Oryctolagus cuniculus: one gene and its partner. The protein of the gene in region 2 interacts with the protein of the main gene of each other region in a pairwise test. Links are inferred from orthologs where the notes say so. Each region holds a gene or a part of one and is shown on either strand. Other genes may lie near its edges.

What was found.
Region 1: the proteins of XPO7 (region 2) and USO1 interact in binary tests that used the Homo sapiens proteins (3 or more experiments, as listed by UniProt). The two-hybrid records come from large-scale screens. The link is inferred for Oryctolagus cuniculus from reciprocal best matches to the Homo sapiens genes XPO7 and USO1.

What each region holds. Positions count from the first base shown.
Region 1 is NC_091439.1:90,118,802-90,127,909, forward strand, and holds part of USO1 (general vesicular transport factor p115), read right to left. Parts: intron 7,959-9,108; coding exon 7,870-7,958; intron 6,803-7,869; coding exon 6,648-6,802; intron 5,675-6,647; coding exon 5,463-5,674; intron 3,469-5,462; coding exon 3,448-3,468; intron 1-3,447. UniProt on the Homo sapiens protein: General vesicular transport factor required for intercisternal transport in the Golgi stack; it is required for transcytotic fusion and/or subsequent binding of the vesicles to the target membrane.
Region 2 is NC_091439.1:1,313,261-1,322,442, forward strand, and holds the start of XPO7 (exportin-7), read right to left. Parts: upstream 5,162-9,182; 5' UTR 5,102-5,161; coding exon 5,081-5,101; intron 4,606-5,080; coding exon 4,459-4,605; intron 593-4,458; coding exon 499-592; intron 236-498; coding exon 69-235; intron 1-68.

The DNA of each region.
Region 1 (9,108 bases), about 89 Mb from region 2:
ATTTTTAAATATTTGAAAATTTTCATCATGGGGTTGGTTAAATCTTTTTTTTTTTTTTTTTTTTTTTGACAGGCAGAGTTAGTGAGAGAGAGAGATAGAAAGAAAGGTCTTCCTTCTTTTCGTTCACCCCCCAAATGGCCGCTACGGCCGGCTGGCTGCACCGATCCAAAGCCAGGAGCTAGGTGCTTCCTCTTGGTCTCCCATGAGGGTGCAGGGCCCAAGCACTTGGGCCATCCTCCATTGCCTTTCTGGGCCACAGCAGAGAGCTGGAGTGGAAGAGGAGCAACTGGGACAGAATCCGGTGCCCCAACTGGGACTAGAACCCGGGGTGCTGGCACCACAGGCAGAGGATTAGCCTTAGTGAGCTGGCCTGGTTAAATCTTCAGATGCAAAAACGATGGGCATTGAGGGATGACTGTGTATGGAAAATGTAGCAAACAAGTATCTATTTGGTAACAAGGGCACTTTAAAAACATTGGGACACCTAGACTGCTATCTAGAAAAAGATCAGTGGAGCTAAATACTGTTCCTTGAAAAATAAAGTTATGCATAAAAAAGAAATTAGAAGGCATGATAGGAAAACATGGGTGACTTCCTTAAATTTTGAAATGGGAAGGCCTTTCCAATATGATTTAAAATGCTGAAGATGGGGTAGGCATTTGGTCTAGTGGCTAAGATGATGGTCTGAGGTGGTGCAGCAGGTTAAGCTGCTGCCTGTGATGCCAGCAGCCGTGTCAGAGTGCCAGTTTGAGTCCTAGTGGCTCTGCTTCCCATCCAGTTCCCTGCTAATGTGCCTGGAAATGCAGTGGGGAGTGGCCCAGGTACTTGGACCTCTGTTACCCATGTGGAAGACCCAGGTGGAGTTCCTTGTTCCTGGCTTCAGCCTGGCCCAGCCCCTACTATTAATGGTCATCTGGGGAGTCAGTCAGTGGATGGAAGATCTCTTTTTGTTTCTCTCTCTATAACTCTGCCTTTCAACCTTCCAAGTAAGTAAATAAATCTTTAAAGATTTATTTTTAAATTTATTTGAAAGGTAGAGTTACAGAGAAAAGAGACAAAGGGAGAGAGATCTTTGATCTGTTAGTTCACTCCCCAAATGGCTGCAACAGCCAGCACTAGGCCAGACCATAGCCAGTAGCCAGGAGATTCCTCTGGGTCTTCCACATCGGTACAGGGGCCCAGGCACTTGAGTCATTCATTCTCTGCTGTGTTTCCAAGGCACACTAACAGGGAACTGGATGGGAAATGGAGCAGCCAGGACTCAATCCTATGCCCATGTGGGATGCCAGTGTATCAGGTGGAGGCTTAACCTGCCATGCCACATGCTGGCCCCAGTAAATAATCTTTTTTTAAAAAAAAAGGTTTATTAAAAAAAAGTGATGGTTTGAGTCCTGGTTTTGCTTCTGATTTCATATTCCTGCTAATGCACATCCTGGGAGGCAACAGGTGATGGCTAAGGTCGTTGGGTTCCTGCCATCCAAGTGGAAGATCCAGACTGGCTTTGGCCTGGCCCAGTATAGCTCTTGTGAGCATTTGGGGAATAAACAAGTAGATGAGAGTTCTCTGCCTCTCAAAAAAAGCAAAAAGCAAAAAGCAAACAAACAAAAAAACAAACAAACAAAAAAACACAAACTAAAAAATACCAAAAACCAAAGTGCTAAAGTTGTGAAAGAAAAGTATAAGGGAAAAAAAAATCAAGACACAACACCAAGGTCAAAAGACAAATATGATGTCAGGGAAAAAAAAAATCTGTAACTCATATATCAAATACCAGGGTTAAATGCTTTACTATAAAATGAACAATTATTTGAAATATAAGAAAAAGTGCAAATCCTTTTCTATCATCCCCTGAGTATGTGAACCACTGATATTTGGAGAAACAAACGGAGGCTTAAATGATATTTTCCCAGTGTTCTGAAGGTTTACTTATTAGAAGCCACAGATTTTATGGGATGGAAGAGAATTTAAAACAAAACATTTGAAATGGAATCTTCTATTCTTTGTCATAAGTAATCAAATTTTCCCTATTATACATTCTAGATAAAAATGTCTCTCATTTCTACTATGTACATTCCAAGTCTAATATCTTGCACTGTTTTAAAACCTAAAAAGCCAACATTTTAAATGTCTTTTGCTCAGCATTAAAAGGAGGTTCTGGCATATTATGATGCAGATCACTTTCTAGTGCTAGACTCTGGGACATGAAAAGGGAAAAAAGGAAAGGAACATCATGGAACTTTCTAGAATTATGAAAACAGTCTACATCTTTTGGGTGGTGGTTACAGAGATACATTCAAACATCAAAAATCCCCTTGCGAGTGGAAGTTTAATGTGGTCATTAAGACATCCATGTTCCACACTGGAGTATCTGGGTTTGACACTCTGCTTTGTCTCTTGACTCCAGCTTCCTGCTATTGTAGATCCTGGGAAGCAGTAGGGATGGCTCAAGTATCTGGGTTCCTCCATCAATGTGGGATATCTGGGTAAGTTTGTGGCTCCTGGCTTGGGCCCTGGCTGGGACCATTACAGGCATTTGGGGAGTGACCCAGCTGAATTTTCTGTCTTTCAAATAAATAAACATAAAAAAAAATCAGATTGGACATATCAGGTGTGTACATTTTACTAAAGTGCATAAATTAGTGTCTCAAACAATACTCTTTTAAATGACTGACTTGAATACTTATCTCTAGTCTCTAATATAAAAACCTCAACAGCCCACTGCTGTCAAATATATGTGTCATTAACACATGCTAAATCATGCTCACATATAGAAACACAATTCGTATGTACTAAAACACATGCTCAACCATGGATATTAAGGCCCACTTCTATTTTGCCAAATATTAGAATACACAAAACACAACCATCGAACAAACCAACAAAACCCAAACCAAGCCAAACACAAAAAACACTTTACTCTCACACATCAAGAACTAAACCCCAATGGTAGTTGTAGTTTATGGGTTATACCCAGGATAATCTGTATTATTTAACTTAAAATCTTTCCAATTACAAAATGATACTTACTATTCCATGTTTAAAATAATCTAAGTAATATAAAAGTCTTCTCAACCTTTCATATGTGATTAACTATACACAAAATTCTTAACTCTAAATTTTACTTCCTATGAAATGGTTTTAGAAGAAATAAAGAAACAAGCTTCACAAAAAACCAAAACCAAGGAATCCCAGAAAGTGCAAGCAGCCCTGGAGGAAGCATAAGTACACAGCTTCAGATTCTCTTTCCCATAGTTCTTAGCAACACCACAACAAAAATCCCACGGAGAAAAACTGGAGAGCCACGTAAGATAGAGATAAACTTGCTGACATGTAAGTGTGAGTAGAATATAAATTCAAACAAGCAGTTAAAAATATCGCAAAACCCAAGACAAAGAAAAAGCCTTGCTGTAGGAGGAAAATGCCTAAGCTGAATCAAATAATACATACCCGTCTGTTGATCTTATCACCCTGCAAATTATACATTAAAAATTATTCATAAATATCACTACTCCAGAAAAATTGGATTCTAGAAAACCCCTCAAAATTCTTTCACAATATTTCTACATACCAAAGCCAATAATTTTGGACTGGATAATTCTTATCTTTTATTGCATAAAAATGATACATATTTTAGAGGATAAAGGGTTAATTTTAAAGCACCTTGTGGGGAAGACATCACCTCTTTAGGCTTTCTTACTATGTACCAATTATAATTACAATGTTAAAGCAAGGTCTGTGGAATTGGAGTCAGACAGTTAATTACTGTTTGGCTTTTAAAAGGCTATTTTTCAATATACAGCAACATGAGAATGCCAAATATTAATTAAGATACAAAAAGTTTGGGGTAGTTTTCTTATAAGAAAGAAGTGATAAATCAAATATATACTAAGCTTTAATGGAAGTAAACCAATTTTAAACAACATTCTACTCCTTCACTATAGTCAATTTTAAGCTTTCCTCTGTAACTTCTGTGGATGGCATTGGTATTTCTTTAAAAGCTCAAAATAAGGAAAAATTCAACAAATGAGGCAAAATTCACAATTAAAGAACTCAGCACAGTATCATGTGGGTGGGTAAGAGGGTGGCAATCAGGGCCGGCGCTGTGGCGCAGTGAGTTAACGCCCTGGCCTGAAGCGCCAGCATCCTACATGGGCGCCAGTTCTAGTCCTGGCTGCTCCACTTCCAGTCCTTGGGCCCCTGCGCCCACGTGGAAGACCCGGAAGAAGCTCCTGGCTTCGGATTGGCGCAGCTCCGGCCGTTACGGCCATCTGGGGAGTGAACCAGTAGATGGAAGACCTCTCTCTCTGCCTCTACCTCTCTCTGTAACTGTCTTTCAAATGAATAAAATAAATTAAAAAAAAAAAAAGAGGTTGGCCTGGCCACATTTTTCATCCTCCCTGAGTGACTGTGAATGTCAATGACTTCCCAGTTTCGCTAAAGCATGAACTTGAACTGTTCAACAGCAAGGCTTGCACATGTCGGAAAGTCACTTCATAGAAAGTAACATTCCTAAATACCTAGCATCCACACTTCAACAGAGTTTTGTTGTTCTCAAATGTTTAGTGATGTTTTTCTAGGCCTTATTAGATAAGGTATGTGTGCTGGGAACTTGAGGACTCACAAACATCAAGGGGGACACTGAGTAACTACATATGCCATGGACTGCTGTTTTTGTTTTTGAGCAATCTGTTGCTCTGGGAAGAAAACAAGAGAGGCACACAACTACCATCTTCTTTATGCTGTTCCCTCTCATCAACTAACCTGAATTCAGTCACCTAGAAAAAAAGAGAAACATCACTAGGCTAATCCTCCGCCTTGCAGCACCGGCACACCGGGTTCTAGTCCCAGTCGGGGCACCGGATTCTGTCCCAGTTGCCCCTCTTCCAGGCCAGCTCTCTGCTGTGGCCAGGGAGTGCAGTGGAGGATGGCCCAAGTGCTTGGGCCCTGCACCCCATGGGAGACCAGGAGAAGCACCTGGCTCCTGCCATTGGATCAGCGCGGTGTGCCGGCCACAGCGCGCCGGCCGCGGCGGCCATTGGAGGGTGAACCAACGGCAAAAGGAAGACCTTTCTCTCTGTCTCTCTCTCTCACTGTCCACTCTGCCTGTCAAAAAAAAAAAAAAAAAAAAAAAAGAAAAGAAAAAAAAGAAAAAAAAAGAGAGAGAAGAGAGAGAAACTGATATGCAAAAACATCATGGATGACTTAAAAAGAAAATAAAATCAAAACCACCTTTCTGCTCAGAACATGTATTTCCACCATGAATCAGATCTTATTAACTATTGGGCCAGCCCTATAAAAATTTTCTTTTCACAAAACTGTTTCTGGTTACAATGAGTTTACGTCCTTTCTTTCCTTTTTCATCTGCACATTCTAAGGGCATCCTTAAATCGCTGTTATCACTGACATCAAGGCATATAGCTGAATCATTTTCCCGGCTGGAGAAGTTTCATGCTGTATTTTACCTGTGACAGGATATTGGTGCACTGTTGCAGTAAGGAAACTGGAGGGTTGCCGATATTCGTAGCAAGTTGAACCCTGAGCAATTGTTCTTTCTGGGTTGCATTTTCTTGCAAAGCATGGGCAAGGGCCACAGCAGCACACCAGTTTGAAAGAGAATCAGTAGAAAACAGACCTCCACATAGTAACTGACCAGCTGAAACTGAATTTCCCATTGCTAGAAAAATGGGAGGAAATCAAATTTAGAAGAATTGCTGTCTTTTATACACACCCAAATAGTATGAAATACTACTGAATACTATTTAAAGATTTACTTATCAGGAGTATCATGTGACATTTCCAAACAATGAAAGTCTGCTTTTCAAAACAAAATTGAGAGAGAAAGGAATCTTAGAAGAAAAGTAGCAGAATGAAGACATATTATGACACTTTAGGTGTTAAATTAATGATAATATTCCTGGGGGTGATTATCATGATTAAAAATAGCATTTCTAGAACAAAGTTAAGGAAATAACACTTAAATTATTCCTCTTATCTGATATTTTATAGTAATGATTTTATAAAAAAATTTTGGGTAAAGTGTAACAAAGTTTTGACCAAAAACTCAGAATGTATGTGATTCAAATGAACTCCACTGATATATCCAATTACTTCTTTATCAAACTGCTCTTAAAGTTAATAAAGGCAAATCTTTAAAGAAATCACCTCTGGTAAAATGAAGTATTTAAAGAAACCATAGAAAAGGCAAGACTATGACCTGTACTAGAACAACAGACCACGATGCCCTGTGTACTCTGGTAGGGTTATCTTTAGAATGGTAATTACTACCAACAGCAGCTTCTGCTTGTTGGCATCTATTACATTAGGTATCTGGGTGAGTGATTCACATATGTAATGCACTAATCCTCAGACTACTTCTACTGAGGTGACTATTACCTCCCCACAACTTGATATAAGGCTCAAATTAAAAACAACTTGTCCAAAGTTACACAGAAGAGAAGTAGAAATTCTACAATGCAAACTGTGGTCTGACTCCAAAGCCTGTTTTCTAAACCCATGCCTTAGGCTTTGGAATTCCCCTGAGCCATACACAGTATTTTAAGCTAAGGGACAGAGAGACAGATTCAATTAAAAGTTTAAAAGACAATTATTTTCTTTCTTAAGAGAGAAATTAGAATTAAATTATTTACCATCAATGGTGGAAGGCAGGAGTGTTGACACAATCTCTCCTTGTCCTTTTTGGTTTTTATATAAGAAGCACTGGAAACAATAGAGAACAGCACATCGCAAGACAAACGGCTGCCTTTCATTTACCATGGACATGAGAAGCACTACAATCGCTGGCCTGTTGCATTTAAAAGGAAAAGAACAAAACAAAACACTGCAACCAGGTATACAAATCATTATATATGAATATATGTATGAATAGCAGTTCATTTCTGTTGACTGAAGAATCACAGTCAGAGCATGAGCAAGTTACGGATTTCATTCTCCATCTCAGACAAAAGGAAAGTAGCTGAGAGAAATGAGGTAATCTGCCTGCTTAAGCGACATCACTAGGAAGTGAAAAAGGTGTTATCTGAGCCTACACATCTAAGTTCCAAAGATCAATGTAATGTTACCACTCTTTTAAAATACCAGTATTGCAGCAGGCACTGTGACAGAGAGTTAAGCCACAGCTTGGGACATCTGTATCCCATGTTTGGGGTTCCTGTGAGCAAGTCCTGCCTCTGCTTCTGATCCAGCTTCCTGTTTATGTGCCTGGAGGGCAGCAGGTGATGGATCGCAAGCTTGAGTCCCTGCCATTCACATCAGAGATCTGGTTGGAGTTCCAGGCCCTGGGTTTGGACTGGCCCAGCTCTGGCTGTTGTGGGCATTTGGGGAGTGAGTCAGCAAATTGAAGATCTCTCTCTCTCTCTCTCTGTCCTTTATCACTCTGCATTTAAAATAATTAAGTCTTAGAAAAATATTTATTTTATCAGATATCTGCTTTACAACATATATCTGAATTATTATAGAGGACTAACAAGTATATAGAGGATATCTGTTCTTTATTTTTTAAAAAAGATTTGTTTATTTATTTGAAAGTTACAGAGAGAGAGATGGAGAGACACAGAGAGAGATCTTCCATCTGCTGCTTTACTTTCCAGATGCCCACAATGGCCAGGGCTGGGCCAGGAGCCAGGAGCTTCTTCGAGGTTTCCTATGTGGGTGGCAGGGAACCAAACATTCAGGCTATCTTCTGCTGCCTTCCAAGGCACATTAGCAGGAAGCTAGATTGGAAGTGGAGCAGCAGGGACAGGGACTATTGCCCAAAGGGGATGTCGGTGTTGCAGGTGGCAGCTTTACCGGCTACGCCACAATGCTGGGCCCATATATGGGCCATCTTAACAACCATTTCCCTTCTCCTACCTTGGTGGGTTTGAGGGTGCATTTACAGAAGCAAAGTAGTCTTGGTTTACTTGGCAACCTCGAATAACTTCTGATACAGTATTTATGGTCTGTTAAGGGGAGAAAAAAACAAAAAGGTAGAAAAAGTTAAGAAGAAAACCTTTTTTGAAAAAAAAATGTTATATACTGCTTTTATTTTTAAATGTCAAAACTCAGACACAAAAAAGATAAAAATCTGTGATAGCATTATAATCTTTTTATTTTTTATTTTATTTTATTTTATTTTTTTGACAGGCAGAGTGGACAGTGAGAGAGAGAGACAGAGAGAAAGGTCTTCCTTTTGCCGTTGGTGCACCCTCCAATGGTCGGCGCGGCCGGCGCGTTGCAGCCAGTGCACTGCGCTGATCCGATGGCAGGAGCCAGGTGCTTCTCCTGGTCTCCCATGGGGTGCAGGGCCCAAGCACTTGGGCCATCCTCCACTGCATTCCCTGGCCACAGCAGAGAGCTGGCCTGGAAGAGGGGCAACTGGGACAGAATCCGGTGCCCCGACCGGGACTAGAACCTGGTGTGCTGGCGCAGCAAGGCAGAGGATTAGCCTATTGAGCTGCGGCACCGGCCAGCATTATAATCTTGTAACACTTTTTCCAAGATAAAGTTCCAAAACACCAAGCATGGGTCTCCAATTAAAAATAACACTTGATCACATACATTTAAAGTCTCAAAAAAGCCCACAAAGACTAATAATAATAAAATGTTTTTACAAAAGAGGAAAATGTTACTTTAAAATTTTAAAATCAGAGAAAAAATTTAAAATGCATTAAATTAAAAATGAAACCTAAGGATGAAATTGAAAGAACTTCAACAAAATAGAATAAAAAACAAAACCATATTTCAAAGCAATATGTTGTATATGATAAATACACACAATTTTAATTTGTCAATTAAAATGATTTTTTAAAAAGACAAACTGGATTCAGAATATCCAATAATGTGTTCATAGAGGTGCAGAAGAGAAGAGAGAATTAAGGAATACCAAAAATATCATTGAAACAGAAGGCATCTATCCCCAGCTCAAAGGGCCTTGTGCGGGAAGAGTGGGGAAGAGAGCTACACTACAGCACACCATCAGTAAATTTCAGAAAACCAGAAATGAAGAAAAGGCCTCAGGTTTCTAGAGAGAAAAGGCAGGTTACATTAGAAAGAAAAAGGCTCAGGATTCAGACTTCTCAGAACAATCCTGGAATGATGTTTTGAAAGCTG
Region 2 (9,182 bases):
TCCATTTTGTGCAGTTTCTATGCCTATGCTGCTGTGTCACACCTTTACATCCAATACAGACATCGTACCTGTAAAAACCTCGTGACGTCCGTGATGGCGTTTCTGAAGACATAGTCATCCTTCTGACAGTCAAACCAGCCCAGCTTTGTGATTCTGGCGTATAACTGGATGAGCGCTTGTGTCACGAAAGTAGCCAACTTTGGCCGGGTGGCAAGGTAGTTGAGCACATAGTTCCCTACGAAAGAGAAACGATCCCTGGAGTGCAGCGCTCCACAATGAAGGGTGGCGGAGAGGAGGCAGGCTCAGACAGTACACCCTGAAGCCTTCCTCATTCTTCATGCTACAACAAACAGGGCCTCGGCAGAAACCCAGACTAGATATTCCGCATGCTTTGCTTAAATTTAAGCATGTTATCAGGCAAACTCATAAACTTAACTTCTAACACACCACTAAGCAGACTGAATTGTTCTCAAGACAGACGGGAAATCCTGTACTTACGAATATCTATGCGTTGCTCCAGTGGCAGGGGGTTGTTTGTGCGCGACACAAGCTTCGTCAGGCATGTAGCTGCCAATAACTGGGAGTAAGACGACTGCGAAGAGAGGGGGAAAAGACTTCAACTTGCATCGTCACAAGGTTTGTCACTGCACGTTCCCAAGTAAAGGGAACCTGTCTTACTTTATTCAGTCTTTCAGGTGCTAGAGGGTCTACCACTCTGGGGAAGAATGAGTCCCCGCTAGCACAGGGCTCAGCTGACTGCAATGCTGGACGAGGGGCGAGTGAACAGCCTGCTGGACCTAATCCAACATGGACACCAGCTTCCCTGAAAACAGACACTAGAGGGCACCTTTCAGAAAGCTCCCACAAGCCAAGAACTCTCCACCTCAACACCCCATTATCGTGATGTCTCAAAAGGACTACAGCATGGCATTAGAAGGAAGAAACAGAACTCTGAGGAAACCCCACAATGCTATCTACTTAACCCCCAAATTCTCTATCAGCACAGCCATAGCTTTTGGGATAGCAGATGAGTTGTGTTTTTTTTTTTTTTTTTACAGGCCGAGTGGACAGTGAGAAAGAGACAGAGAGAAAGGTCTTCCTTTTGCCGTTGGTTCACCCTCCAAGGGCCGCCGCGGCCGGTGCATTGCGCTGATCCGATGGCAGGAGCCAGGTACTTATCCTGGTCTCCCATGGGGTGCAGGGCCCAAGTATTTGGGCCATCCTCCACTGCCTTCCCAGGCCACAGCAGAGAGCTGGACTGGAAGAGGGGCAACTGGGACAGAATCCGGCGTCCCGACCGGGACTAGAACCCGGTGTGCCGGCGCTGCAAGGCAGAGGATTAGCCTAGTGAGCCGCGGCGCCGGCCAGCAGATGAGTTTTAAAGTAAACTTTGAAAAGATATTTGTTGAGAAAGAAAACTTATGTCCTAAGCACCAGAGTAGCATTATCACATTTTCAAATGTGATTTTTAATGAATTTTCACTTTATGAAGAATTAAAGCATTCCATCTGGTCATAGGATATAAGAATCATGTGACAACATTAATTACATAATGTCACACAACAGAAACAGAATGAGAAGTAGTAACTAACTTAATCCAGGGTCCAAGATAATTTTTCATGAAACTAAAGGTCCTTAAGATAGGAGGCTATTCATTTATTTAAAAAAATTAATTATGGAAAAACACCAAGTCTTTGACAACATGGTTTTTATTCAACATACCTGAACATGACTTAGACTGATTAATGCAGGCATGTGAAACCATGACTAAGAGACTGTTCTAATCGTAATACATAATATATAACTGTATAATGAATATATGTTCTTAGATATAATGCAATAAATCTAACAAGTCATTAAGAAGTCAACAGAGATTAAAAAGGCAGAAACCACTCTGGTTTCAGCATTGTCCCAGTTCTGTGTTCTTTAACTTGTCAAGAGTCAACAGGCAGGAGTTGGAGCTGACAGTGTCAAACTCTGCACTGTGGTGGGGGTGGACTGGAGAGCTTTAGGCCGATCATTCCCAACACCGAGTGATTTAAAAGAAGTATACGAAGTAGTACTAGTATTGTACAACTTACAACAGACTACTACATAATCTATCACTTTGCAATCTTCAGATATTTGGAAAAAAGAATTCGATCTTTAGCTATTAAAGGATAATTCTAACTAACTCTTTGTCGCATAAACACAATTGTGACACTAATGAAAACTCAAAAATGAAAGTCAGAAGTCTATCCTCCTCAACAATTTTTTTCACGATTTACTTATTTAAAAGGCAGAGTTACAGAGAGGGAGAGACAGAGACTGACATCTTCCATCTTTTGGTTCACTCCCCAAATGGCTGCAACAGCCAGAGGTGGGCCAGGCTGAAGCCAGGAGCCAGGAGCTTCACTGGGGTCTCCCAGGTAGGTGCAGGGGCCCACATATTTGGGCCACCCTCCACTGCTTTCCCAGGAGCACTAGCAGGGAGCTGGATCAGAAGTGGGACAGCCGGGACTTCAATCAGTGCCCACACAGCATCACGGGGCAGAGGCTTAGCTGGCTGTGCCACAATGCTGGCCCTACTCCCTCAACAAATTAAATGCTTTTATTTGTCCACATCTCCTTCCAGTCCAAAGGATAGTTTTTTGGAAATGCTGTGTTATTACCCGGCTCTTAAGGGATAAACCTCTGTTCAGGACACAGCACTATACCATCACTTCCACTTTCTTTTTTCTTTTCTTTTCTTTTTTTTTTTTAAGATTTATTTATTTATTTGAAAGTCAGAGTTGCACAGAGAGAGAGAGGCACAGAGAGCAAGAGAGAGGTCTTCCATCCACTGGTTCACTCCCCAATTGGCTGCAATGGCCAGAGCTGCACTGATCCGAAGCCAGGAGCCAGGAGCTTCCTCCAGGTCTCCCACATGGGTGCAGGGACCCAAGCATTTGGGCCATCTTCCACTGCCTTCCCAGACCATAGCAGAGAGCTGCAATGGAAGTGGAGCAGCCGGGACACAAACCAGCATCCATATGGGATGCCGGCACTGCAGGCAGCGGCTTCCCTGGCTATGCCACAGCGGTGGCCCCATCACATTTGAGACATCCACTTTCATCTCCACCCCGCCAACAAGAGCGACAGTGAGGCCTACTGGCTGCACAGGGCACACAGGCCAAGGTGCCTGTGTGAGCACGAGGGAAAAGGAGGACTGCACCTGACCGCATGCCCTGTCACAGAGGTCAGTGCTGCCCACCGCAGGCCTGGCTCTGACGCCCTTTCAGGACTTCCCCTCCATTCTGCCGAAAATAGTCACTTCATCAAGTTATGTCTCAATCAAGCATCATTTTGATCACTGCCATGCCATTTCTAAGCTGGCAGGGTGTTGAATTCCATTTAAAACCTACAGCTTCCTGTCAGTCATTTTTCCTAGACTCACTGTAAGGTACAGAGGAGGAAGACACAGAGAAAACTGAGGGCCTTATAGGGTGACAAGGACTCAGGACCAGAAGGAGATCACTTCTACCCAGCCCTGCCCTCCTGTAATAAACAGGAGGGGGCAGGGCTGGTGCTGTGGGGGCAGTGGGCTAAGCCTCCACTTCCGGAACCAGCATCCCACATGGGCACCAATACATGACCCAGCTACTGCTCTTCCGATCCAGCTCCCTGGGAAAGCAGTGGAAGATGGCCCAAGTGCTTGGCCTCTGTAGCTGTATGGGAGACCAGGAAGAAGTTCCTGACTCCTGGCTCCAGATCTGCCCAGCTCCAGCCGTTGCAGCCAATTGGGGAGTGAACCAGCAGATGGAAAACCTTTCTCTCTGTCTCTCCCTTTCTCTGTCTGTAACTCTGCCTCTCAAATAAATAAAACAAAACAGGAGGTGGCACTTACGCATCAAAACGGAAAGCGAAGGGCAGTGCTATGGACAGCAGGTTAAGCCCCTGCCTGTGACATGGGCATCCCTTACCAGAGCACCAGTTCCAGTCCTGGCTGTTCCACTACAGAACCAGATCCCTGCTGGGAAGGCAGCAGAGGGTGGCCCAAGTGCTTGGGGCCCCTGTACTCATGCGGGAGACCTGGAGGAAGCACTTGGCTTCATCTCTTGGCCGCTGAGGCCATTTGGGGATTAAGCCTGTGGATACAAGACAGATCTCTCGCTCTCGCTCTCCTTCTCTGCCTTTCAAATGAATAAAATAAATCTTAAAAAAAAAAAAAAAAAAAAACACAGAAAATGAGTCCCAGAAGTTTGTTTCAAGATGGGAAACAACAGGACAGAAACGAACAGTCAAATATCTTTTCCTGGTGGGGTCTTTGGCCTTTCTCACCAACCGGGCAAGTATGGCACTTTGTAAAAGTAAATGAAGAAGGCAGGGCCACCTAGAGAGTCAGGGAGCAGGAGCTCCCCCGCTCCACCCCTAGCCTGAGAGCCAGAGCAGCCTGCTACACTGCCCTCTTCCCTTCAGGGTGTTTCAAACCTCACGTACACTTCCTCTCTCAAGGAGGAGCTGGCACTTGCTCAGGCAGTCGGGGCTGTTGGTGAACTCCACCAAGGCTTTCTCCGCCTGCAGGCGAGTGGTTGTGTCTGTTGTCTCATACAGCTGTTTGCACAGGTTTTCTAGTTGGGCCAGGCTCTGGAAGAGATCAGTGGAGAAAGAAATCAGTCCAGTCTGCTATATCCACAAGGAAGTGCGCTCGAAATCACTGGGAAGAAATAAATAATAATCAGTGAGCAGAGAGCTGTTCCTGATCCTGAGGACAACCGGGGGGACCGTGATCTAGTAATAACCATGCCAGCTCAAGACAAAGTGACCGCCTTAAAACACGCACACACGCATTCTATCAATCACAAATGGTATTTCCCCCCATGCAAATACCCATCCCGCTACGCTTTTTGAAAAGGCTTCCAAACACTCAAAACTTAATTGTTCTGCCATTAATTTAAAAAATACAAATACGCTGCCGCTACGACTAAGCACATGACCTCCATGTAGTTTAAACACTAGCCCCTTGAGGAGCTGCTATGAGATCCCACTAAGTGTGTGCCTTCAGACGGTGGCCAGCCTCCGTGAGCAAACCTGAGAGCGGCACAGAAGAGATCTTACCCACCTGCAGCCCCGGGTCCCTCATGCTGAAGTCCAGCAGGCACGCTGCTCCTGCTGCACTTTAAACTGGCTCCGGTTCCAAATTCAAAATGGAAGGGTCAAAATAAAGTCAACCCTAGCATATGCTCACCCACAGATAAGACAAGGGACACGCCCCCAAACAAACCCTGCTCTACAAATCTCAAACTGGCTCCAGCAAGGCAGGGAGGGTGTGGGGGGGTGTGTGCTTTGGTCAACGCCCCACAGGGATTCACATCTACTTCCACTTAGCGTGATGTTGATAAAGGCAAAGTGGAAAGGCACTAGTTACAAACACACTCTTCACCTCCCGGAGAAGAAACTCAGCATCTGTTAGCCTTGAGTGGTTTGGACTTTAGGAAGATGTCTGAGGCCACTGTCACCAGCAGTAAGCAAGAGCTGGTTTCGTTTGAGGAGTTCCCCCTTCAGAAACGACCATGCTTACAAGAGCGAATGTAATAACAACAGTTAAACAAACCAAGCTGTGTAAACTGCCTAAAACATATTATACTGCTAGTCTGTCCAAGGCTTCTCACCATCACTTTAATTCATATGCTTAACTTTATAAATCACAGCTTTCCCACTGACCAGGAAAGCCCTCAGGGCAATCCCTATTTTATTCAACCGGATTAGTAAGTTTCCAAGATTCACCCAAAGCAAACAAGGAAGACAAATACTGACAGTCTGGATCATCAGTCTCACTTCAGAGAGCTCCCACTCCCCCAAACAACCCTTATCCTCAAAACAGAACACAGAGCTCTTGGAGTCACCCCGGACTCTGTAAAACTAGGCTTACTATGTGCGACTTCTTCCCTGACCCCAGGGCTCTGCCGGAACACCTTCATTCAAAAGCACAGAGAACGCTGCAGAGGCAACGTCCGATCTCAAGCAGGGAGGCAGCGCTGGGCGTTTCACGTGGCACGTGAACACCAGCACACCTCCGAGCCAGGCTTGTGAAGGTCACTTCGATGCTTGCGTGTACTGGCTCCAGACTACTGACAATGTCATCAGTCTGACTCTGAATCCCTACATCTACTGCGCAAGTTTGCGCTTCACTCACTCCCATAAAACGACACGCGTAAGAGAAAAGGTGATACAGACGACATCAACAGAAGGCCATGGCGATAAAACGTTAGGGTGAGCCTGGTTATGAGGTGCTGGGCCAACAGCCACCTCACAGCCTCCACAGCCAACACCCCACGCACACTCCCTGAGGAGGCGGCTGCTCAGGGCGTGAGGATGCTCAGTGCTGCCTCATCAGTCAGTGGGTGCGGCGGCTCCCCCACCGTGCGACTCCTGTGTTATGTTTATTACAGCAAAGCTGCTCACTCCACGAGGGCTAAGCACCTGCTAGGTCAGGCTATGGTGGCTTCTGCTGTGTTCTGATTTGCTTTAATTCAGCAGACAAACACACTGCAGGGTAAGTCTGGAATGAGTTCTCAACTCAGGAAACAAGACTTCAAAAATAAAACAAGTAATGTGACCATTTACACAACAGTTTGGAGAACTACAGCTCTAATTCTCTATTTTCAGAACAAATGGGAAACAATTTTGTTTCTCAAACAATTAGTGGAAGCATCTAAGAAACACAGGTGAACAGTGATTCTATTTGAGTTGCCAAGACTGCCATGGAAGGGTGAAGGAATGAAAGGTGACATTCACGCTCTTTGGGTTCCTACGGCCTCCAAAGCAAACCTAATGTTAGTCAGATCATTAAACTTCCTTTTTGGGGGCTGGGTAGAGAACCAACATAAAACAATCTACCTGGGCTAACGCTGTGGCGCAGCGTGTTAAAGTCCTGGCCTGGGGGCCGGCACCATGGCTCACTTGGTTAATCCTCTGTCTGCAGCCCCGACATCCCATATGGGCCCAGGGTTCTAGTCCTGTTTGCTCCTCTTCCAGTCCAGCTCTCTGCTGTGGCCCGGGAGGGCAGGGGAGGATGGCCCAGTGCTTGGGTCCCTGTACCCACGTGGGAGACCGGGAAGAGGTACCTGGCTCCTGGCTTCAGATTGGTGTAGCTCTGGCCATTGCGGTCATTTGGGGGATGAACCAACGGAAGGAAGACCTTTCTCTCTCTCTGTCTAACTCTGTCAGTCCCCCCCCCCCCCCAAAAAAAAAAGTCCTGGCCTGAAGCGCCGATATGGGCACAGGTTCTAGTCCCGGCTGCTCCTCTTCTGATCTAGCTCTCTGCTATGACCTGGGAAAGCAGAAGATGGCTCAAGTCCTTGGGCCCCTGCACCTGCGTGGGAGACCCGGAGGAAGCTCCTGGCTCCTGGCTTCAGATCTGCTTAGCTCCAGCCGTTGTGGCCAACTGGAGAGTGAACCAGTGGATGGAAGACCCCTCTCTCTGTCTCTACCTCTCTCTGTAACTTTTTCAAATAAATAAAATAAATCTAAAAAGAAAATCTACCTTACAATTATCTGAGTAGCTATTAAGGCTACTACACATTCGGGGTGGCACAACACGCCAGTGTTCTCTGCGCCTCTGCATGTAACACCATTGTTCGGTCTTTCCTACCCTGCAGCTCTTATTAAGGACACCTCTTCTGTGATGCCACTTTGTTCACAGAAAAGTCTCCAGGAACAAAGTCTATTTTCTGTTACAGAGACTGTCAAGCCTATACAACTCATAGAAAAACTTCCATCTGTTTCCACTATAACAGAAAAGCACATTTATAAAACTGGAAGGTGGGGGTGGCTTAGTGGGTTAAGCCTCTGCTTGCAGTGCTGGCATCCCATATCCGTGTCGGTTCACGTCCCAGCCGCTCCACTTCTGATCCAGCCCCCTGCTAACGTCCTGGGAAAGCAGCAGAGGGTGGCCCAAGTGCTTGGGCTCCTGCACCCACATGGGAGACCCAGAGGAGGCTCCTGACTTCATCAGCCCAGCTCTGGCTGTTGCAGCCATTTACAGAGCGAACCAGCAGATGGAACATCCCTCTCTGTAACTCTGCCTCTCAAGTAAATAAATCTTTAAAAAACAAAACAAAATAAAAAACTGGAAGGCAACCTTCAAAGTATTGCTTTAGTACAAAGACTTGACCAAGTAATCCCCAAATCTAGAACTAGATGCACTTCCCCAACAATGGCCCTAGTGATGGTATTAACATTTAGTAGCAACATTATGGTATAGTCTTTTTGACTTTAACAGAGAAAACATAACTTGGTTACTCTCATTTCAATATAAGGTGCCAACTGCAGAGACCACAGCCCTCAGCATATACTACCTTACCGGGAGAGCTGCCTCTGGGTAACGGGGTCATAAACACTGTCTCTGTACATGAGATGTTATATTTCTCAAAGCAGAACATCTTGGAACTCATTTAGTTTGTGTAATATTTCTTTTTAAATAGCCCAACAGTGTAGCTATTCCATGGAGTACGTCAGGAACAGGTTTAAGGATTCCTTGTGGGTACCAAAGTCCCTCACACATGGGTGCAAAGTCCCTCACACATGGGTGGAGTAGTACTTACATGTAACTTCCACGTTAAATCATCTCGAGACTGTTCCTAATACCCACGTACACCGTCTGGACAAGACGACACACATTCAGCACAACTTCGCCCGGAATGCCCCCTCCACAGAGGGCTGACGGCGCGTACCGTGCCTGCACAGGGCCTACACCTGCTTGGGGTTTCCGAGCAGGACGAGGACGCCTGTCCTCAGGAAGCACATGGTGACACTCTGGGAACCCCTTGACGACTGACGGGCTCTACACAGCACACACTAACCAGCCGCCAACTGCCCGCCGGAGACCAGGAGCCACCATAGTCTTACCACCAAGTGCAAGTGCAATACTAACTTCAAATGAAGAATACAGAATAGATTCACCAACTCAGCAGCTGAACTTCTCTAATCAGGACACCTCAACAGGAAAATAACTGCTCTCAACCTGTGCACAAACCCTATCAAGTTAAATCCCCTTAGCTGGGATTTTCCTCTCTCCCATCCCCCACTTTTTATCAATTTTTAAATTTACTTTTTGACAGAACTTTTTAAAAACCAATTTATTTATTTATTTGAAAGTCAGGGTTACAGAGAGAGAGAGGTCATCCACTTGCTGGTTCACTTCCCAGTGGTGTGGCTGCAAT